Linked DNA regions of Neodiprion lecontei. The protein of the gene in region 4 interacts with the protein of the main gene of each other region in a pairwise test. Links are inferred from orthologs where the notes say so. Each region holds a gene or a part of one and is shown on either strand. Other genes may lie near its edges. The genes, in order: protein kintoun, PDZ and LIM domain protein Zasp, protein phosphatase 1 regulatory subunit 16A and serine/threonine-protein phosphatase PP1-beta catalytic subunit.

Region 1 (6,934 bases), on a different chromosome or scaffold from region 4:
ACCTTCTTTTCACAATGTTTGATCACAGATTCGAAAATCATATAAGTTATCGTTAACATGTCTGTACATCCCGCTATACCATGTATGTAGATTTGCAGATACTGCTATTTGGATGTGTAGCTTTCATAATAGTCTCTTGCGAATTATGCATAGCCTGGTGACTTTTCGCAATCTCGCCGTGTCGACGACATTTGTTGTTACTAATCCTTACGATCCAGCTACGCGACATTTATGCGTGCAGCTAATGGTGCAGGAAACATGTTTGTCGGGTTGCCTTTACACGCCGCGTCAGGCGTTAATTTGAATCTCGGAAACCACTCAACTCAGACAACTGCGAACCGAACGATTATAACTGTGGAACGGTTGTCAGTTGCATCGTTCAACATTCGAAATTAGTCTAATCAATCGCACATTAAATTTTGTCATTGTCTTTGTTCAATTCTATTCTTAATTGCAGAATATTGTTACCCTGTACGCTCTTGTGCTGAGCATTTGAATGATACAAGTTTCAGGTAACCCTTATTTGCATAACATAACTGTTTATTACCCATTTTCTTCTCATGGATTATTACACTGGGAACAAAATATCCTTTTAAATCATAATATATAATTTTCTTTCGTATTTATAATACCAGGTATAATATATATTGACCAATGAATTTTTCATTGATCCCGTGCATGTAGAAATAATTAATTTAGCGTGTAAAATACTATTGTCTATCCCGCAGTACTATTATAAGGTTGAATACGGTTGTAAAGTTTAAAATTCGATATGTAGCCAAAAAGACTGTATTTGTCTATTGAGCAAAGTTCATCAAATTTTGCCTGTACCGTTTCTGATTTTACTTACAATTAACCGATATTGCCGAATCTCTAATGATCTCACTTTATACTTTGTATATTGTCTACAATTTAATTAAGTATAATATTTTTATACAAATCAATGGTGAGTGAACATTAGCTCCCGTTTAGTATGAAAGTGTATAAATTCGTGTAAAAATCAATAAACGATTAGAAATTTTCACTCTATAAAATAGTACGATTGATTGCATAATATTTAGTACGTGTGTATGCATGTTGCATTTAAAACTTTATCAATATATCTCAAACCTAGCCTAGCAGTCGTTAGTGAGCTATACAAGACGTACGTGAAAATAATAGTAATAATTCATCTCTCAGAAATCTTGTACTCGAACGTGTGAGAAAATTTGTGTTACTTTTTCCTCCCCACTGTTCAACTTATCTCTTGCTCTTACTTATCGCCATTGAAATCGAAAACCGTATTCTTCCCTATTATCTCATGGATCAGGTATCTACTTTCGATTGATCTCTTTGAACTAAGGTATACAAATATTATAAATTATTCAGAACCAGCCATCAAATGGAATTGCATTAATCGGAAAAAATTAAATATCAAGATCAAAAATTAAATCGTTCTTAAAGACTTCTGTAACAGCGTTTGTACCATTTTCATTATCATCATTCCAATGATTTTTCTCTGTACTCTCATCGTTTCGTTTACTGGAATGAGAGTTGTGATTTTTTTGATTTTCTATATCGATGTGCTCAGATTTTTTGTGTACCATCGATTTATCGTAATTTAATATTGGCTTCACATTTTCATGGACGCTATTTTCCACCGGGGTATTTTTAGGGCTAATTTTGTACTTTTCCGCACGCTCCTCGCTCTCGGAGTTTTCACTTTCACTAGTTCTACGATCGTGCGCACGTTTCTTATTGCGTAATTTGCGCTGGTTCTTCTTACGCTGTCCTAGGATACTTGAGTTGGATCTGTAAAAATTTGTAGGTTCCTGATTCACCAAGATTTATTTATTCAAAGATATTGTGATGCTTCAGTGCTATAAAAAAAGTTTGATGGAACAAAGCCAAGAATACAAGTCCAAGGAAAGGGAAGAGAAAAAAAAAGGGACAAGAATACGTTAAAAGACTGGCAAAAGATTACCTGTATAACTGGCGAGCGACAACATCATTAAAACGAACTGTCTTCTTCAAACTCGAACTTCCAGACTCAGAATTTATTTCTGGAATTGAGTCGGAATGGAAGTCTATAGAAGAAGCAAGCATAGCGCTATCGTCTACGCTCGATTCGGAAACCGAACGTGTAAAGCCATAATTACGACGGGACTTTAGTATACCCTTGGACCTGCCCGCGGGACCAGGAATATTTCCTAATTCATCACCGCTACTTTCTGATATCGATCTATGATCGTCGTATCGTGAAGAGTCTGTATCTTCGCGCTCTGCCTCATCGTCTGAGTCCAACTGATTTGGCGTTATATTAATCACAATGTCATCGCCTTCTCCCATAACTTCAATCTTCTTATTTGTTTGCAGACAAGGCTGAATCTGAAGAGGAAAAGAATGTCAATTTCAATTCACAATTGTTCAGTTTCAGGCTATTATCAGGGAAGTCAAGCTTAATCCTTACTGGTATATGTAAGAAACTATTACTGCATTCAAGTTTGATAATAATCAAAGCATATCTTCTTGTACAATTTCAGTAATAATTTCGCAATGGCTTGTGCAAGATTGTTAGCTCAGGTAGATTGATAATGCACAATTATAAAATGAAAAAATCAAGAAAGAAATTCTTATTTTACAGAGAATTGAACATGACGTACTGGTGAGGGTGAATAGGACTTTGTATATACACGTCAAAAGGTATTTCAATCGATAAGATAAGTATTATCAGTGCTAGACTAATGCAACATTGGATTACCTCCATGTGCTGTTAAATACACATACGTGCTGTGTAAAATTGAGCGAGATAATAAATAATCTATTACGCGAAAAGACTGGGTCACGCCAAAATCAAAACAAACAATGCTATCCTCGTTTTTTGCAAGTATGTTGAATCAGACTGTAATACACGTGTTACAAAATAGAAAATTCTGAATAATAAACAACTTGTAATGATTGAAAAAGTGTCAAGTAATACCTAGACCATTATTTCAAAATGTGTGCGAATAAAGCGTTTTAATAAAGTATGCCAAGCGTTGAATTAAATACGTTACGGACAGTGATAAATTTGATGTAAAGTAGCACGTGGCTCACCTAATTTACACAGACCGCTTTGACCGCAGAGGATCAAACCGGTTTTCGATAGGAAGAGAAAAGTATGATGAGCATAATAAATAAATGTTACCATAAGTTCATTGAGTTTATTTTGGAGGGAAACAGGGGCGAATAGTTCCCTGAGTTCCATAAACTCTTCGTCAATTCCAACGAAGTACTTGCTCACGTCTTCCCTGCAATCTTCCAAGGCAACGGTAATGACAACATTGTTATCCCAAGGCTCTATGACCAGTGATTCGGGACGAATAGATTCTCGCCCAGTCTTAAAGCACATAGAATAATAAACGGGAAAAAATCCAGCTCCGACCGAGGTGAGAAGCACATGAACGCCCGAATTCTCTTTCAGCATTTTATGCCGTATCGAATCAGGATCAACATTTTTGAGGTGGATAGTAAAAGCAAGAGTTTTATCATAACAATTACAGCTAAAGGCAGGAAGGGAATATTTGACATCAGGTTTCATGAACGCCGGCTCGTCAGGTACGCTTTTGTTACTAGTTCTTAGCGCGGTATCTTCCTCACATTCACCAAACGCACTTTCCCTGTCGATAACGGTAACCAGTGCCTTTTTCTCGGCTCCTTCATCATCGCCAGAGTCTGCCAAAGGGCTGCCATGATCACTGTCGACTCCACTGTCCTCCCTGTTGTCACAGAGCGGAACGACGCCCCTGAGAACAGGCAGAGTGACAGTGAGCTTCTTGTTTTTAGGGTCAAATTTTGCGCCGCCGTTGTCTGGATCGACACTGTACGGCAGGGGGAGTTGAAGCTGGTATTTAGCGGGTTTCTCGCTCTTCAGCATTACCAGCCGTTCTTGAACATCAAGGGTGGCGTCGCCGGCGCTTTTAAGAAGGGGGAGGTCGATTTCAACGACAAGTTTCTTGGGAATAGTTTTATGGAGTCTGGCATTTTTGTGATTATGAAAGTCTTGTATATCGACGCTGTCCTGATGCTTGACGACGAACTTTGGCGTGGTGTACGCGGGGCACTCGCTCTCCGTGCTCCTGCTCTCGTTGAAATATTTAGTCGAAGGCGACCGCCGCTCGGCCGGTTTGTCCATGGCTCGAAGCTGCTCCTCACGGCTCTCGTCGTAGCTGGTCATCAGCTTCTGGTAGATCTCCGGCTCAAGGTCAACGTCCGAGGGCACCGGCGGCCGCTCCGACTTCTTTCTGATCACCGTCGGCTGGCTGACACCCTTGAAGCTCATCTTGGGGAACTTGAGGTTGTTCCGGTCTAGCTTAACTTTAAAACTGCTCTCGACACCGTCCAACGCCGTCTGATTAACGGTCTCCCGGAACTTGGAATTCTTGCTGGCCAAGTGCAGGGTGTCCGGGTGGAACACCACGTCGAAGACGACGCACCGGGCGCTCTTCTTGTCGAGGTCATCGCGGGGGGGAGCCAAGGTGTGGGGAATGGACCACTGCAAACCCCGGCTACCACCCTCGCAGCTCGGCCGGCTCGAAGGCTTGCCGACACTCGAGCTTTGGCTTATGTTTACAAAGCACTTCCTGCTCCCGTCGACGCTTGTTTTTATTACGTAACCCGGCTCAGGGTTAACGAACGTCACGTCTACGCCTCTCTCTCTCTCCAGCTGCGCGATCTCCGACTGGTACAGTTTCTTGTTCTCGGGGTTCGTCACCTCCTCTGCGTAATCGAACAGGAGTTTCCGGAATTCCTCCTTCTTAAGACAGTCGGTTATCGTCTCTAGCTCTTCCTTCGTCACGTCCAAATCCTCCCAGTTCTTTTTTAATCGCGAGTTGTACACGGCCATCTTCCAGTAGATACTAGTGTTTGGGTTCGGTGCCTTTAATTAATTTAGCCACTGGTGCATAAGCATATATCTATATATATAATAGAGAATACAACCCAGAAGTTTCCATCCAATCCTTGCGCAAATAACCACGTGGACCATACAGATGTGCGCAGCTCTGCCGGCCGGCTGGTGGAATTTATACGAACTAGCCGATGATTTTTAAACGCGAGCGGGACGCGAACGCGCCGCCGACATTTACGGCTCGATGCGCGGACAAATTCTCTCATACATCGCGATTATTTTATTTGCGGAATTGCGTCCGTCAACTTGCACCACTTTTCGCTGTCAGCGATTTTCCACAAAGAGCAACGTCGGCAGCTTATCGTCGCTCCTGTAGCTGACGAATGCGTTATACGGTATAATAATATACAGTCGAGAACGAACAGGGTTATCTGGAATACCGATTCTACAATAGCTGTCTATAAAAGGAAACGAAGATTACAGTGAGAGAAATTTATAGTTCCGGTTGCAGCTCAGTCCTTAATTATTTTCACTTTTTACCACAATCGAAAAATATAGTATAAATATTCTAGGTACAAAATGAAAATTAATTTTGTAACTGTTAACAGAAAGTCTAGTATCCGTTACTATTCTTTCCCATTACGATCACTGTTACTATATTTTCTCGTAACTGTTCCGAAAATTTAATGCTTGTGCTGCGATAAGTTGATGTTAAAGCCTTATTGAACTAAAAAAGTAGAGTAAACCGAACAAACTGATTTTGCATTGCAATTACCAAAAAAGTATCGACAGTAGCGACTGTTTTTTTTCAACGATATCTGTTTTACTCTATTTTTCTAGTTACTATGACACATGAAATTTTTCTTAGTGTACATAAAATAAATAGCCAAAGCCACTTACAAAATTACTGAACTATGTTACATTTAAGTTAAGAAAAGAAGCAAATGCTAATCATTTATTTGTGCGGTAAATTTCAGCCACGTTGAATTGTTCTGTAAATACGATCTTGATACTGAAGTTTGATCTGGATCTAAACAAATTGAATGCAATTTAATTAAATTGGTGTAAAAATTATGACAAATAATAAATGTTCTCTACATGCATACGCTATACAAACCAAACATGTTCTTAATGCCTGCAACAAGGTTTCGGTAGTTATGTAATTATTTTTTTCTGACGTTTATCGTATGTAAATTGTATACGATGACTGACCGTAATAATTGGGTGTTTCGTTATCGAAATTGAAGATAGTTACAGTCGTAAAATTCGCTGCATCGAGGGCGAAACTGTAGTCACGTAAAGTTCATGCACAGAAATTCGTGTATTAATTATTTTTTGTTGTTTCTGACCACGTTACGTTACCCGAAGGATTATCAATTCGAAAGTTTCCACTGTAGTAAAGCAATAACATGCGCATGTATACAAAGGTACTTCTTAAATCGAACATTCCCTCTTTTATTTTCTGCTGAGGTCACATCACCTTTCCTCTCTAAAATTAATAACCTATCATCCTTTGTACCCAAACGTAATGTCGATGGTAATCCGATTATGAAATTGCCCTCGGGGCATCTTTGCGACTAACAATGAGTCGTTTTCGCAACTGCCGGGCACGAGAGCACCATGTTACGATTGAATTTATTCTGCTCAAAGCTGAAATTTGCAAAAATTAAATAAGAAATTCAGCATCGGTTGTGGCAACGTACATTAATTATTCGACGTTCATTTGAATATATGATTTTTTGACGCGGTATTTATTAAGTAGAAGTAAAATCGAAATATAATCACGAACAATTTTCTCGATCAATTATTACGTTACATAAGTTTTGAAAAATTCATAGGTACCACGGTCATTCGTTCTCAAATAAATGAAAGTGAAAATGAACGCCCGTCATTAGACCCATAAATTTTTCACAACTCATACGAACTTCACGGTGCCGCAGTGGAGGAAAAAATACATGAGTATGAATTATCGTGCGTTCAGAACAGTTTGGCGTAAGTATAAATCACGTAAGGATTTCCGATCTTACGGAGGAAGAAGGTGGGGGCGGTGGGTCAGGTCCATAATGC
Region 2 (4,622 bases), on a different chromosome or scaffold from region 4:
CGCCATTCGGAAACTCAACGATTCGCATATTTTTCGTTTGGGTAATCGACGTTCTACGGTGTAAAAGTATTTGTAACTGTAGAATACAACATGATATCTCTTTTATGACATGGAATATTTTTAATAAAAATGGTAAGTACAAAAATTTCTGGATCACGTATCTAAGTTTATCCGTATAAAAATATCAGTCGTACGTTGCGTCGTAAAGACCGTCAACGCCACTTCCCCCGCACAATTGAAAACTCGAATTTTTTTCCGACTTCTGAGGCATTAAACCTTGCGTAGAGATATCAACGTGGGATGTCACCATCGGTTTAAGAATCGGTCACCGAGTTATTTACCGTCAACCTTGATTTGAAATATTCTAGAAAGTACAAAGTTTTTTTTTTAATTTCAGGGTGACGAGACTTCTTGACTTTTTTTCTCAGAATTAGAAGGAATTTGTAGCATTTGAAAGGAAACAATTGTCGACTTGTCTTTTAATTTTGTCATCTTTGTTGAAAAACGTTACGGAGAATTTTGAAAAAATATAGGAATTTGTTGACGAACCGCTGAAAAAACTTTTATGGCTATATTTTGGTAATAGCATAAGTCACGTAATTCTTATTTATATAATAATAATACTTTGTTCGGGATCAGCTGGAAGTGCCCGAAGCTAAAACTCCGAAATTCACAAAAACACTTTAAATGTACATTCTATCATCGCATCGTAAAAAACAGTTCACTCATGATTGGTGCGTGCTTATCTGAAAAGAAAAACCCTTTTCCAGGACATCCCTTAGATTAACTAAGTTCGTTATTAATGCGAACATACTTGCTGAGCAAAATATATGTTATTTTTAGTTTTTGGTAGAAAAGGTGGTACACCATGAAACGTTCGACCAATTAATAAACTGTCTGGCATGCATTAAGAAAGCAAAGCTGCGTGCAATTCAACCCTTATTCTACACATTTCAATTTATCAGAGCACAGACAATAAACAACTGAATTGAATAACATGATTTTATAGCGGCTGAAATGCTTTGCGAAAAAAATCCACAACATTTTGTGATAACTCTAGTATTTTCTCTGTTAATCTCGGAAAAAAAAAGTGAATTTTTACACGATTTCAACGTCAACTTTGAATAACTTTTGAAACTGTCGAGTTATGAAAAAATTACTAGAGACCTTTTTTGTAAAGCATTGAATTCCCTACAAAAATACGTAGCTCAAATTTATCTCCGTTGCCTCGTTACTGAGCTACACAATTCAGAGATGACTAAAATTATTTTCGCGCGTTAATTAAATGGAAAATGAATGATTGCGTTCAGGAATCACCAAATATAAACTTTAAAGGGTATGACTATTAAACGTGTGTCGTTGAAAGAAATAAAATAATAGTCGATTTTTTTGGACCACCCTAGTGTTTACGTGTCTAAAATTGTTTATCTATATCAGTAAATATATGCACGTAGAAGAGAATCAAGTCCGGCGCCGGGAGTGCAGAGCCAAAACAGTACAAAGCGTATGCCAATTTCAAATGAGGGCAAAACTAGTTGAGCAACTAGGCACGCGGAGACTGGGTTAGCCCTGTCAAAGTCAACCCAAGAGATCGTCTGCAGTTCACCAGAAGCTCCTGACGTATAACAGCATTTGGGCCGTACTTGATCAACGTTGATATCTCTTCGCGAGCTTGAGATTACTTTTGTCGCAACGAAATTCTGTAGACTCCAATCAGATCCGATTCCCATTCTTCCTTGTTGCTGCATCGTTGTTGCCGAAACATCATGACCGTCAGCAAGAAACAAACTGTCGTTGTTAAACTAAAGCGAAGGGACCGCGATCAGCCTTGGGGCTTTCGTATAGCTGGTGGTGTTGATTTAGGGACACCTATCATCGTCACCCGGGTGAGTTGAAGGTTCTTTCGTGCATATCCGTGCGATTGAGTTTCAAATTTCTTTACATTTCATTTTTTTTATTTTTTTTTATTTTATTAACAAAATTGGGGTAAAAAAATCAAATCTGCTCAGTTGCGAAGAAGTTTTCATCACTACACGATCATTCGTAAGCATGGTAATCATTCACTTTCGTGAGTGATTTTACCAAAAATGCGCCCGTATGTATAAAGTATGAATATAGGTGGTATGTATTCGGGTGTTTTACAAAAAAATAATTTACGATTTTTCACCGTGGCATCAGCTGAAAAGTTTGTTCAGCTTAGGAGAAAGATTCTGTCAAAAAGTGAGCGGTCTACGTTATGTGGAAGATCGCGCTCATTTATTTTTCACTTTTTTCACATTTTTTCTGAATTTATGAATAAACACGTTGCAGCACTGCAATCATTATTTCTTTCCTGACATTTATATACGAGCCTGAAATCACGATCCACAACGCAAGAAAATATCAACCGAGAATCTTATTCTCCTGAATTAAAAGTTCATACTAAATTTTAACTATTTTATGAGATATTGAATTAATAATGTAAAATATCGTTTGCTGTACACTTCTCAAACATCAACTGGCGACTTAATATCACAAGTGTGGGTCTTCTTTGTGACGTAAATTGATATTATGATGATGGATGTAAGCAATAAGAAAAAAAAAGATTCATTCACGATACTTCATAAGTTTATAAAAATGTGTAAAAGTGAAAAATCAACTGAGCGCGATCTTCCACGTAACGTAGAACGCTCATCTTTTTACTGAATCTTTCTTTTGACCTAAATGAACTTTTTAGAGGGTGCCTTGATGGAAAATCGCAAATTATGTTTTTTTAAAACACCCTAATATGTATAGTTATGTATGATCAGATTAAATCATAGGTATAACAGGGAGAGCAATACTTTCGAAATTCAGTTGATCGAAGGTTAATATTTTTTACGTCGATTGTAATTATATTCATGTAAGTCTTATAAGCTAACGTGTGATATTACGTGGCTTCTTACGTCTGGTAATAAGAAGTAAATATGTTCTAGTTATTATATAGCATAAATGTGCTGGTAGTCGGGCACCATTTCATTTAATGCTTACTATTTGTTTTTTTTCAATCAGAATTTAGCGTACACTTCCGTAACCGTCAAATGAAATGGGCATGTGCCAAAGAAAGCTCTAGTGTATAAAATGTAGCCTTTTAATTGCGCGCATGCGCCAACGTTGTTTTATCGCACTGTTTCGTAAATGAGACACTTCAGGCACGCTCCTTAGGCTTTGAAAATTTAACTTACCAGCGAGTGTTGGAAAAATTAATTTCCATGATAAAACAACAATCACATTTACTCCGTCAATCGTTGACTTCAGTTAGCACTTGTGAGGATAATATGGTAAACATTGATAGCCACTCACAATTAGCGTAAGACGAATGAAAATTCATTAAACCCGTATGGAACCGATGCGATGTGACGATTTAACAACTCGCGACCTTATTAGCCATAATTGACGTGAGAACAATTGGTCGATCGCTTAACCCAAGACCCACAATTTGAGTTTTGTTTTGTGTTTCAGTCGGAGAATGAAGACCTCCTCAAGGGTGACGTGATAAAGAAAATCGACGACTACGACGCCAGAGATGTGCGTCACGTCGACGCGCAGCATCTCCTCCAAAAGTCTGAATCTGTTAAGCTTGTTGTCGAAAGGTTTGACCCCAGAGTAAACCACCATTACTAATCTTGCCTAAAAATTATTTGAAAATTTTTTTTTTACCACAACGAATTCCTCCGACTCCTTAATCGTATGTTACACTTTCGTAATGCAAATTTTTAACTTACCTCTACGAATTCATTTATTTTCGCACCATTAATTAAGTTTATAACGTTTGTAATACATAATCCGAAGAAATGCGATTGACGATGAGAAGTCACCGCTTAACTTAACGTATCACAGAGCTCAAAGTGATAGGAAAACGCGTTTTGGTACATCGTGTGGGTTCACGTTAAAACAGATTTCACATTCGGGAATAACAACGTTTTTTAGACGAAGTGCCCATCGCGTCAAATTTTGTTTTCAACGACTAAAAGTGCAAAAAATTTTAAGACAAAGGTGCCAATTCGAAGAAGTAAAATTGACCAATGTGTTTCTACAAAACGGTCAGGCCTAAAAAACTGACAATTGGAGAATTTTCATATCTCAGTGTACGCTATAATATATTCAAATTTCAATATCCGAATCGAAATTTTTACTCCAAAAGGGTGGCTAATGCTTCGTGATCCACCCATGCATATTAACGTTCGTAAATAATTTACGGAAAAATATTTTGAATATTTATTACACCTGCATATCTACAGATATCAGATACACCTAATTGTACAATACGCGTTATCTAATAAAAAAAAAGCTGAGAAGAAAAATTTCACAAAATAATAATACTTTTTCAAAATTACAAATTTTTCAATATTTTCTAGTGTTACCAAGAATTTTCTACCAAAGCTTTCGCTAGGTATATATAAAATACAAGACGCGCCGTGTGTTTTGATATAAAGATTGTCAGGGATGGTCGTGTCACAGTGCCAAGGTGATAAAATTTCGTGACATTTAATTGCTGAATCGGCTAAACAGACCGCAGCACGTGTCCAGCCTTGTCTTCATACAGCGATCGGTGGAACGCTATTCCGCCTTGAATAAAAGAAAAAAAATTCTGGCAAGCTTCG
Region 3 (5,042 bases), on a different chromosome or scaffold from region 4:
GTCAGCTGAACATACAATCTGTCTCTGCGTGGACAATTGTATACAACTTAATTTTTTCGTTGGCCCCCCTCCAACCCCAAAGTTTAGAACATATCTGTATACTTGGTGAACAGAATTTGCAAGCGACAAAGGAAAAGTGTACAATTTATTCACCGGCAGGAGTTTCTTCGTGTTTATTTTTCGCGTTCAGGTCAGCTCCATTGTGTACCAACAACTCAAGCACCTCGAGCTGTAAACCACATGGTAAAAACTTGTCAATAATATTTATAACTAGAGACATTTGTCAGTAAAGATCGTGCCAAAAATAATTGAATTGTCATTTCTGCATTTAAATATAAAATATATTACACTTGAAAGGGATAGAAAACTGCTGTGGTAAAACTATTATTAGAATACGATTTGTCTCTTTAAATGTGAGACTGGCTGACAGTTTTCTAAGTAAAAAACTTTCATCAACAGTCACTCACGTGTCCCCAACAGGCAGCTGCGTGAACAGGTTGCCATTTATCATTGTCCACAACATCGGTTGAAACGTGCTGATCAAGAAGAAATTCAACGACTCTGAGGTACCCGTTTGCTGCTGCTATGTGAAGCTGTAATGAAAAATAATTATAAGTAGCAAGTTTTCTTGACGATACGATTATGGAAAGCGGTAACTTTAAATTAAAGGTGTTGCCTAGGTCCAACTGAGTTGTACCACATAGACGATCCTTCGTATTTACCTTCTTGTTTGCGCAATTTCTAAGACAATGCTAATTTCTAGTAGCACTCTAGGTAAATAACACCCTTAATCTTACTTCCAAAATTGTTGCACGTTAATTCACGGTACCAAAGTGACAATACGATTGAACAAAACGCGTTACTATAGATTTTTTGAGTTCAAATTCACTATGTCTGAATGTAGCGCACGTTTTTTGCGTACTCACAGGTGTAGCACCTTGATGATCGGTATATTCTAGGTCACCACCTTGGGCTGCGATCTTCTGCAGGTCTCGCAACATCTGCACCTCAGTTCCAGCCCTAGTTTCGTCAATTAATTCTTGCGTAACACCGCGTCTTGCCATTTCACCTGAAAAATATATTTTCATTAATAAGAAAGAAGATTAAAATCGACTACGACGACGTTTTTGAATTTCCTCGCCAAAATCTTTCAGCGTCGTACCTTCTATGCAGTCGAGGGTTTTCTCATCCTCGCATATGTCGTACGGCATATTTCCATCCGCGTTGACGGCCAGTAAGTTAGCACCCCTCGCAATTAGGTAGCGTACTAAGTGAAGATGGCCACAAGTCGCAGCAGCGTGAAGTGGCGTCCACTTTTCACTGTCCTCCGCATTGACGTTGGCCCCAAATTCAACGAGTATTTTCATCATTTCTTCATTGTCATCAATGCAACATTGATGCAGCGCGGTCAATCCATCCTCGTTGGTAGAATCAGGATTCACCTCTTTCTTCAAAAGCCTTCTCACTAATGGGCGCAAGATATATTCAATAGATATAAATATACACTGTCCCATTGATAATTCTGTCCTTTTCATTTTCATAATACATCAAGAGAAACAAATCAAAGGCGAGGAAGGATTTTGCCTCGCTACACTACCTTCGTCGAGATCGTTTCTAGCCGCAGCTTCTAGAAGCATAACGCTGTCGCTAAAAAATATGTGACGTTTATTGCTTGGGTGTTTATTCTGGTGACGGAGCCATTCTTTTTCTCGATGACGCCATTGCTTCAGCTGCTGCAGCCTCCGATGACGTGCCAAATGGAGTCGTTCCTGAGTCGTCAATCTCTCAATGTGCATCATCTCTGCTACCAAGTCCGAGTGCTCCATGATGGTTTGTTTGGAACTCTTGCAGCTATATTTACCTGGAAATATTAAAATGATCAATAAAGACAGCAAACTACCATCAAAATCGTACATTTCAAACACAACATTTTCATTAGTACATCGAAACAGAAGCGAATGTCATCTTTAGTTCACTTTATTCAAATCTCTTAAAACCTTGACAACATATATAATCGCAATGAGATCAGCACTATATTTCAACAGGCGACAGCTTACATGACATGGAATGAGGCACAGGTTGTAAAAGTAGACAAAAAAAAGGTATCAGATATGGGCTTTTACTTTGGCTGAATTTTCATCGGAAACCTTTCTTGTTAAAATGGAGAAACTTTAGGTTTTTCTAAGGGATAATTAGACTAAAATAAAAGTGTTTTAGTGAACAGTTATCGGTTTTGCTCATTTTTGTTTCCTATCGACATACTTTCAAGGTAATTTTCCAGGTTTGAAAATAATTTTAAAATTATTACCCACACAGAAAACTTGCGGATAGATTCGTATACATCGGAGAAAAAGTACATCGACCGAAAATATGTTATGTAACGGCCTTAAATTGCACCGTATGTTCATTCCGCTGATTATTCTCCTCCGAAGGAATACTGAACTAAAATGACTGCTACACTTATTGCAGTCCTGAATCCTTATCATAAATTTCAAACCGCTGCCACCTCTAAATCTGAAGATCACGTTTTTCAAATGTAGTAAAGGGACAATTTTTTCCAATCTACATACATTTATTAACCTGACAATAATTCAACATTTCTATGAGTAAACCCAAGGTTTACGAAAGAAAGAAACAGATGGTCTCATTTCAGCCGACTTGATTCCACACAAATTTTTCACGTAAAAGTATCGAAAACAATTAATAAAACTTTAGCGAATGAGAAGCGGTGACGGTGAAGCTATATTGTGATTGAAATTACAAATCAACGTTTGCAAATACCTTTGCGGCCGCGAGCTTTGCCGGCAAGTTTAGTTAAGCAACTTGCTCCCTGGTGAACCCTATTCTTCATCATTTTGCTCTGGATTATTTATAAAAACCAGCGTCGGTTTCTCGTCACATTCACTATTCCTTACTTTGCACAGTTCAATAATGACTTGAAAAAATTATAACGATTCTCTTCGTTGTTAGTAGGTGCGTGGCTGATGTAGACCTGCCTTCTTCTATCATACACATCGCGCCTGACTCTCATCACGCATCTACGACGTCAACATCCAGTCTCACCGAGTTACATATTTATACTTATTTACTAAGCTGCCTTTGTCTGCGTAAGGTTTACAAGACCGAGATAATGTTTTGTGAAAAACAAGCAAGACACAGCAGCAGCGTAGCAAAGATTCGAGATACCACAGAAATGAAAATATGCAGATTTTTTTGCATAACTAAGCAATACGCATAGACTTTCCAAACCAAGTGTATTAATTAATTCAATCTTCGTTATCCCTTAAAACATGTCTCGGTTGAAAACGGTAAAGACTATCGAATAAATATCACCTTGATGGTGACGTACTTTTTTTTAGATAATGTAAATCAAAAGATCATAAAGCAAATGACCGTCACTTAATTTTTACTCTAGAAAAGTTTTTTCTGTGAAAAGTGATTGAAACCTAATTAGCTATTGGTGAGTATAAAATGGTAAAATTATGGCTAAATGTTACATCATTGATTTGCAATTTTGTTTAGTATCAAGTATATGAATCAGTATTATAATTCCGACGAACTAATTTCGGAAGAATTAATTTATGAGTAACGACAAAATACTAGTAATATTTTTTCAAAAAGTATAGAATCATATGATTTCAGAGTTGCGGAAAAAATGTTGCTGATTTCTCCTCAAATGTAACTTACTATGTATTACTTCTATTGAAGATGCACAACATTATGAAACAAATATATTTTCAAAGGAACAGAAAATTACATAATTTGAAAAATCAAGTTTTTTCTGTTAGCAAGTGTCAATCAAAAAACTTACTAAGAATTCAATTCAATGAGAAAACTTTAGGTCGTTACTTGCATTTGCTACGTCTATTTACTATTCTTGATAATTAATTCCTAGTTCATGTATCATGTAGAATATCTATATTAGGCGATAATACGTTTCATATTGCCAAATTTACTAACATAGAATATTACTTGACACGGGTGGACAATAGTTGTTTTTTTTCGAGTAGTAATGTTTCAAGGAAATTATTTGTTCCTCAAATATTCACGTAAGCGGTGAATCATGAAACAAAAATAAGATAATTTTATAAAAACGTTTGTTTGTTACGGTTCTTAGAAGCTGCGCGTAAAATTTCATGTAAGCGATAAGTTTCATTACTCTCGCTAGAGAATTGAAATTTAAATGTGCAGGGATAGATGTAACGTATATTCAAATTTACAATTAGAATTCGCTACTAATTCAACAACAAAAGCGCACTGACCGATCATTTTATGCTGAATATGACGAAATGACAGACTGAAAAAAGTGACTAGTCACCAGTCCTGTTATCGGTAAGAATCTAAAATTATCTGTGACGACATAAAAGGACTAAAATTCAGCACAGATCAAAGAAAAATTTCAACCCATGTAATTTAATGTATATTTCATTTGTAGAAAACGACGTGTACTGTTTCAATTGTCTCGACAATTATAGATTTTTCAGAATATCGAGGCTTACGGCTATCCCGTCTTAGGTTAACTATCCGATTCTCACACTCTCTCCCCCTCTCTAGAGTTAGTTGTGTTTCATAAATGAGATAATTTTCTCCATTCTGTACGAATGAACTATTTCTAAGATGGTAAAAGAATCCAAAGTTGACTAAAATTGTTTCAATTCATGACACACTAGACACCCTCTATCGATACTTTTTCGCCGTTCTGAGGATTATCAACTTTCATTTTTGCGATTACTGTTTCTGCCAATTTCTTGGACAAGACACGACCAGACAACTTAGAAATTTCCAACGCTTCTCTTTAAGGATGTACCAGACATACACGACAGTGAAAGAGCTGTGAAGACGGAAATATCATATAACGAAGGTTTGGAAATGCAATTAAAGTTCATCAATTTAAATTTCATTGATACAATAACACAGAAAAAAAAATTTTTAAATCAAAAATTTCATCTAAACTAGCTGATCTTTTGATGGCTTTGAAGAAATCTCAATGTTTTATCATTCTCACAATGAAAAAACTGTACTCAATTTTATATGAACCAGGG
Region 4 (7,282 bases):
AATAATAATAACAATAATAATAATAATGATAACATTATTAATAACAATGATGACGATGATAATGATGATAATAATAACAATAATTTACACGAAGGTATAGTCGTATGTATGGCGTTCCTTGTGTATGCTGAGTGTTTATCAATAATTAAGTTAGGACGAGGCAAAAAAAAAAAAATATATATATATATAAACCTGCCTGTCGAAATTGAACGAACAAATAGTAATAATAAATAATTAGGAGTAAAAATGCTGCTAAACGCAAAAATGAGTGAAATAGAAAAGGATCGATCATCATGTAAGAGAAAATGAATAACTGTTACTGAGAATGGTAGCAAGTATATGAAGTACATGTGCTATTTTTTAGTGCTTATGTTGACGGAACTCGCTGATTTTGTTCACCTTATAAACAAATTGGGCAGTCGATAAAGTGACTTTTTCTAACTAGAGGAACAAAAAAAAAAAAAATGTATATATTGATCGATATTTTATACAAAGAAGCATCCTGCGATAATAGTGTAATTGAGATGTAATAAGGAAGATGTCGTTTCCCGTTTTAAGTATTCAAGTTTTCTGTTTATTTTTTTTTTTTCATTTTATTTCGTTTCGTTTTGAATTATGAGTTTTTAGTTAGTGTACATACTGTAGTGACACGTTCCACAGCTGAAACATATAGAAAAATAAAATCAAGTCCAATATTCTACGGATTTCGGTCAACTTTTACTCACATTGTTGGTATGATTTAGGATTTAAGCAGGTTAAATGTCTCTGGAATCTTCAGGACTCAGTATGGCTGATTAATTTTGGATTTAAAAGAGGTAATGTTATTTTATAAACTAAAGCAAAGCGAGATCAATGCACGGAAAAGTTAACTGAAAACGTCCGACGTCGTCGTTCAATGTAAGTTAAAGCTCCTCCCATCTATTTATATACTTTTCTTCAAATCGTTCACCGCAGTGATTCATGAGTCGTGATTATCGTCTATAACTGCCACTGATTCAATTATTAACAATAATTTAATAAATATAATCTGATTTGTTTAATTATAATTGTAGAGACTAGGTTACTTCCTTCAATATGTGTCACTGAACCCTTGCCTCCTTTCCGGCGTTATATATTTTCAGTAAAACGCGTTATTCATTGAAAGGCGATGAAAATTCTATCAGCTGAAAAATAGCTAAAGATCAAAAGAGAACTTATGGCAGGTCTCCCAGTGGAGTTTAACTTTTCTTCGTTTTCTTTTAAATTTTTTTGCAAATCGAGTCTAAGACGTTTAGGAGGCCTGTTGCAGTGTTCTATATTCACAGGGATCGATTTTATCATGTGACGTAAGTATTCACAGTATTTGCATCGTAAATCATTCAGTCTGAATAGATAAAAAATTAGATATTTATTAATATACTTGTTTGTTTTTTTCTCTCTCTCTCTATAATCATCTTACCTAGAACGAAAGTGTTTGCTGCTACGCGGGATCAGCGAAAGGTGGTCATTTCTTTTTTGTTGGATTCCTCTGCGGCGTAGATGGCCTGCCACCTTGCGCAGTCATTCCACTGTACTGGTATTTTGCTTTTTTTTCAGAAGGTTTCAGGATCTGTTTTTATTTTAAATCGAACAATGTAGAAAAGGGGCATCAAAGTAATCGGTCATCTTCGCTGGTGAATAAGAAACGAAAAGTGAAGATTACCTGAAAACTGCACATCAGAGTTTCGTCGACGCTCATCATTCCGCCGGCGTTGTCGAATTCCCCGCAGTAATTCGGAGCTGAGAAAAGTGTGACGAGCTGCCTTTTAGCAAAAAATTCGTAACCATCTTCGACGACCTGGTGAGCTCTGCATATGAGATCCATATCGTGTCGACTTAGGAATTTGGAAACTACGTCAGGTCCGAATGTGAAAGATACGCCTCTGTCGTTCTCGCCCCATCCCTGCGGGAGAGAAAAACAGCCTCACATTACATCGCATTGTAAAATCTTGCTGGACGCAGCTCAGAATCAACATTGTAGGCGTGTTTAGACAGTCGTGTGCTGTACACCGTTGCTTCGAACCATCTGATAAGTTATTACACAACGATATAAATAGAGACAGGTAACACGCTGTATCCTGCTACACCCGGCGTATTCTAATACATTTTATACACACCTGAACATCTTTGTCGGGGTCAGACCAAAGGAGATCGCATAAAAGTCCTGTATCTGGAACATCGGTTGGACGCATGATTCTTCTGATTTGCTCCATTCCCTGTAAAACCAATGTTACTCGTTACGTTTAATCATTTGATGTAATTTTTGTTTTTGCATCTAACTTTTCCTGAAAAGTGTTCAAACTTTTCTCAAAAATACGAATTAAATAATCACCTGGAGATCAGGACTGAGTCCGCCGTGGCAGCAGAATATCTTTTCATCGATAATAGCGGCGATGGGTAAGCAGTTGAAGCAATCGGTAAAGGTTTTCCACAGTTTTATATTATATCTGCGTTTACATTCGTCGTAAAATCCGTATATCCTGTTTATGCTGGCGCATTCGTGGTTTCCTCTTAGCAAGAAGAAGTTTTCTGGGTATTTGATCTTGTAGGCGAGTAACAGGCATATCGTTTCCAGAGACTGTTTGCCTCTGTCGACGTAGTCACCTAGAAAGAGATAGTTTGCCTCTGGAGGAAATCCGCCGTACTCAAATAGCCGCAGCAGGTCTGTGTACTGGCCGTGAATATCGCCGCATATTTTAAGCGGTGCTTCGAGCTCCAGTAGTATCGGCTGCTGAAGGAATATCTCCCGCGATTTCAGACAGAGGCCTCTCACTTCGGCCTCTGTCATTACCACCGATTTCCCAGGTCGACATCCTCGCACTGTGTCCAAAATTTTCGAGTTTATAGTCAGCGGTATTCGCTAGTAGAGTCATAACATCGAGGCAGATTTATTTTTTCAACATCAGCTTTGCAAGTTTAACAATGAATGAATTATGATTTCATAGAACGTTGATGCTCTCTACTATGATATAAATTGTACGGCTTTAATAGTTTGTTGTGCCGAAAACTAACTTTTTACAAAATGCTACGCTAAAAGGGTTAATTTAATCAAATCTTTTTTTGGGATCTTTATTTTCTACGATGTATAACTACGTTACTATCTATCTATACAGTTTGGTAATTTACAACTATACAGTACCGTTGCGTTTATACTGGAACGACGATAGAGAAAGGAAATCAAAAAGTAATTATGCAAAAGTGTGGTGACATTCTGCCAAGAGATGTTGCTAAAAGTATTTCAAGATCAGGGGGGAGTGCTGGAATACTACCCACAAGTTAAGTGACCAAATATTCTGTTACCTACGTAATAAAAAGAAAAGAAAATTCTCTGTGCTTTATTATACAAGCTAGAAATGACTGTCGGATATTGTGTTACAGTTAGTTACTTTTCGAAGAATAAGCAACTAGTTGATCGCCGTCGTTAAAGAATATCTTCAAAACAAAATGAAGAAACAAAATTTAACGAAGCAAAGTTTAGATGGACTGTATTTACAGTGACGTAATCAAAATAAAGCAGATGTTCTCCAGCTTGGTAGTGTTAATTTGTTATTTATAGACGACTTTGAAGGCCTATGCAGTGTAGTTGGATCACTTTTGCATGACGATGACTGTAACTATTACGAAATAAAATGTATAGATAGGTCGTCGTATCACCAATGACACTACATCCTGTACTTATTGGATAGAATAATGCGAACAGTGGATAAAAGTCTAATCTTTTTGTTTTCCTGTCATGTTGCAATGAAAATTTACCGCACTTAGCAAGTTCTCTGTTATGCAGAGCTCGAGTTCTTACCTATTGTTTTTTTTTTTCTTCTTTTTTAAATGTTAGAAGGACTACATCTGATGGTAATTATCAATAGAAAGAAAACGTAACTAGCAATTTATGTATATAGACAAGACATGCGCCTAGCAACAAAGATAAAAATGATAATTAACAGAGCGACGGCAAGATATTGAAAGAAATATACTGCTGAAGTTGACTAAAATGAATGTCGCAAGACAAGAACGTACAAACATAGTTCTAGATTTAGTTCCCCTTGGTGATGACGAATTTAATTTGAAGCCCAAGTCTAATCCGAGCAAAGCCACGTGGTGTTTGGAGTATAAAATCTATATTTAGCAAATCTTGCAAGGTAAACAATATTGCTGGAAGTGGTATGGAACTTTGTTCTCAAGACGAGCGTTTCACTGTGTAAGGTTTGTGTGAGCTCGACCGTGTGTATCGAAATACGAGATTGATACATGAAGAAAAGGGAGGATTGGTGCTGATGTTGCATTCAATAGTGTGAGAACGCAAACTGATAGATATATCGATAACAATTAATGTGGATGCATTTGGTAAATGGTAACGGTGAAATAAAAAAGAAAAAATTAACAATGAGAAAAAATTTTTTTTAATATATTAATAAATTGGCATACCGACAAAGTCTGAGGTAAAAATGTCTTTAAGTTTAGCCTTTTTCTGAACCTGTTCTTTCTGCGTTTGATATACTTTACCGCAAAAGATCATCCCCACAAATACGGTTAGCATGACAGAGAAAAAAAACAGAAAATTTTACGAAAACAAATAAAAAATCAATATACGATGTGTCCATACCGACAAACGGTGTCCGTTAAGACAACAATTAGTCGTTTATTTCCAATTTTTCTCTGTTATAGGAAACAGCTGACAAGTGTGGAGTGAGCCAACGACGTTTCTTTCATAATAATGTACGAATAGACTGAGAAATAGTAGCGGTAATGTGGGAAGAAAGAGAAGAGATAAGAGAGTATAGGAAAGAAGTGATATTTTTCATTGCTAGTATAGAAAACACACTAGACAGCATATAATTGGTTTACGATTATAACGTGAAATATCATGGGAAATAAAGGCTCGGCGTATGTTAGTAAAGAGATGCGATAGACGGTATTACTTTGGCCATGACATCCGTATCGTTATATTATATTTTAGACGTACCTTCAAGCAATCTCTGTATCAGATTGTCGATATCCAAGTCCGCATCCGCCATTTTTTCTGCACTACTCTAGGTCCCAACTCCTAGGAAGTCGTTTGTCGGAACAAGTAGATCTATAGTTCCTTGTTTCCACTAGGCGCTTCGCCCTGGAGGCTTGACCCTCGACCACACACTACATTCACAAGCACTCACCAGATGCCGCTAACTTCTTTTTCTTGACCTTGCGATATACGCGCGTTCCGAAGTCTTCACTCGGCCTAATCCCGACGCAACGTGTGTTCCGAAACCGAGGTTACTGACTGCCGATACTGGGTCCTGATTCTGACATTTTTCACTCGTGAAAACCACGGTCTGTATGTAAAACCATGGTGAAAACTATTATAAGCGCCATCTACACATGTATACACATTTTCAATGGCGCGTATGCTATCCAGTACTCCACTACGGTATATTTAAATATATCACATCACGCAGTTCCGTTTGTCAGATTCTACCTAACATTCTCTAATTTTGCCTTATAATTCGTCTCTATAATTCTTCTGTATGATTATTTCATGGTCAATAGACCGATACGATAGTGTTCTGTAAGTCACGCGTAATTTCGGATCGCACCGCTTCAATTTTGTTTATTATGCCTCGATGGCTGGGAACGCATGACCACGGACATATACCTATATGTCGATGCGCATGACTTTGATTTTGTTTATTAAACCTAAGTTGGTAGCACTGAAATTCGCGACCGCGGCTTTGCGGTTGTGAGATATGCGGTGAGATTATACAGTAGGACCCGAACGTGGAATACGGGTAGAAATCGGGTGGGATTAAGAAAAGAGGACGATAGCTAAAGTCGAGCGGGTTTAGTTAAAATTCTTATGACCACGTTTGCCGGGTGAAAATATGTCTGACTCTTCTGAAGAAGAAGAAATATCGAGCACCTGGGTTTTCTACAGGGACAGAAATGAATGGAAGGACGTTACGCCTGTTCCACAGGATGATGGACCTCACCCAATTGTCGCGATTGCCTATTCCGAAACATGTAAGATATTTAAATATTCAATTCGTTCAATTGTTTCGTCAATTATTTCTTGGTAGTTTATGCGTCAGATTCGAATCACGAAACTTTCAGAATATAACCGATCAGGTGGGTCCACAATGTGGATGTAACCTATTATAATTTAGCTTATAAACAGTTGAGATCAACGCAAAATCGACGATGTGAATCATGCAAATTTCGATTTGAATTGATAAAAACTATCAAGTTTCAAACCGTTTTCACAGTCAAAGATGCATACGATTACTTCAGAGCCATTCTGAAGTCTGGCGAAAAGTCTGAGCGAGCTCTGAACTTAACGGGGGACTGCATAACGCTGAATTCAGCAAATTATACGGTATGGCAGTACAGGAGAGAGATATTGAAAGCACTGGACAAGAACCTCTGGAACGAACTCAAGTATATAGAAACAATGATTAGAAGAACTCCAAAAAACTACCAAGTATGGCATCACCGGAGGGTAATCGTGGAATGGCTCCAAGATCCAAGCTTGGACTTAGCTCTGACTGAAAATGTACTGAAAAAGGATGCGAAGAATTATCATGCGTGGCAGCATCGCCAATGGATTATAAAAACTTTCAAGCAAGTATTTTTTACGAATTTATTTTTCTTAGCGTAAGTAGTATTCTGTTCAAGCACAAAAAATTGCTTACTAGAGTAATAAACGTGCATATTCAATTGCCAGTTTGTTTGACGGAGAGTTGGAATATGTTGAGCAACTGCTGGACGCCGACGTGAGAAATAATTCTGCTTGGAATCAACGCTACTTTGTCTTGAATAATACAACAAAGTTTGAGCCGCATGTTATTGAACGAGAAGTTGATTATACTTTGAAGAAAATCGAGCTAGTCAAGGGGAATGAAAGTGCATGGAATTATCTTAGAGGGTTCGTATCTGTAGCCAAAAAAATATAGTCACATTGATTTACATATTTCTGGTAATGAGGAAAGAAAAAAATTCACTTGTAATGTGACAGTTCATGCAAGTATTGATTGCGAACTACCAAGCGCCAAGTAAAATTTTGACATTGCTTATTTTCTCGCCTTTTTTCTCATTAGCATCTTGCAGCACGATGGTGAAGGCGGACTCGGGCGAAATAAAAAAGTCCTCGAGAGTTGCGAAGCATTGTATGCAGGAGGCTCGCGGAGCATACATCTGCTAGCCTGCATGATAGACATTTGCCAGGAGAGACACGGCGCTGACATAGAACCAGAATCACCATTCACTATTGAACGTGCGCTTGCAGTAAGCAACA

The links.
Region 1: the proteins of serine/threonine-protein phosphatase PP1-beta catalytic subunit (region 4) and protein kintoun interact in binary tests that used the Drosophila melanogaster proteins (3 or more experiments, as listed by UniProt). The link is inferred for Neodiprion lecontei from reciprocal best matches to the Drosophila melanogaster genes flw and Nop17l.
Region 2: the proteins of serine/threonine-protein phosphatase PP1-beta catalytic subunit (region 4) and PDZ and LIM domain protein Zasp interact in a two-hybrid assay, tested with the Drosophila melanogaster proteins (2 studies listed by BioGRID). The link is inferred for Neodiprion lecontei from reciprocal best matches to the Drosophila melanogaster genes flw and Zasp66.
Region 3: the proteins of serine/threonine-protein phosphatase PP1-beta catalytic subunit (region 4) and protein phosphatase 1 regulatory subunit 16A interact in a two-hybrid assay, tested with the Drosophila melanogaster proteins (2 studies listed by BioGRID). The link is inferred for Neodiprion lecontei from reciprocal best matches to the Drosophila melanogaster genes flw and MYPT-75D.

Annotation. Positions count from the first base shown.
Region 1 is NC_060261.1:38,946,992-38,953,925, forward strand, and holds protein kintoun, read right to left. Parts: upstream 4,990-6,934; 5' UTR 4,865-4,989; coding exon 3,167-4,864; intron 2,368-3,166; coding exon 1,964-2,367; intron 1,792-1,963; coding exon 1,407-1,791; 3' UTR 520-1,406; downstream 1-519. UniProt on the Drosophila melanogaster protein: Required for cytoplasmic pre-assembly of axonemal dyneins, thereby playing a central role in motility in cilia and flagella.
Region 2 is NC_060263.1:21,718,503-21,723,124, reverse strand, and holds the start of PDZ and LIM domain protein Zasp, read left to right. Parts: upstream 1-1,598; 5' UTR 1,599-1,766; coding exon 1,767-1,886; intron 1,887-3,215; exon of another isoform or gene 3,216-3,230; coding exon of another isoform or gene 3,231-3,299; intron 3,300-3,480; coding exon 3,481-3,611; intron 3,612-4,622.
Region 3 is NC_060261.1:27,895,478-27,900,519, reverse strand, and holds the start of protein phosphatase 1 regulatory subunit 16A, read right to left. Parts: upstream 3,001-5,042; 5' UTR 2,855-3,000; coding exon 2,782-2,854; intron 1,862-2,781; coding exon 1,598-1,861; exon of another isoform or gene 1,553-1,597; intron 1,466-1,552; coding exon 1,163-1,465; intron 1,070-1,162; coding exon 927-1,069; intron 594-926; coding exon 468-593; exon of another isoform or gene 460-467; intron 244-459; exon of another isoform or gene 230-243; coding exon 154-229; intron 1-153.
Region 4 is NC_060265.1:28,570,636-28,577,917, forward strand, and holds serine/threonine-protein phosphatase PP1-beta catalytic subunit, read right to left. Parts: upstream 5,252-7,282; 5' UTR 5,031-5,251; coding exon 4,979-5,030; intron 4,513-4,978; coding exon 4,441-4,512; intron 2,839-4,440; coding exon 2,351-2,838; intron 2,235-2,350; coding exon 2,136-2,234; intron 1,922-2,135; coding exon 1,682-1,921; intron 1,589-1,681; coding exon 1,484-1,588; 3' UTR 1,439-1,483; exon of another isoform or gene 1,364-1,438; 3' UTR 508-1,363; downstream 1-507. Other genes in the region: protein farnesyltransferase/geranylgeranyltransferase type-1 subunit alpha, read left to right, coding at 5,874-6,012, 6,255-6,609, 6,713-6,913, 7,086-7,272. UniProt on the Drosophila melanogaster protein: Required for cell adhesion in non-muscle tissues and in maintenance of muscle attachment. Vital for larval development.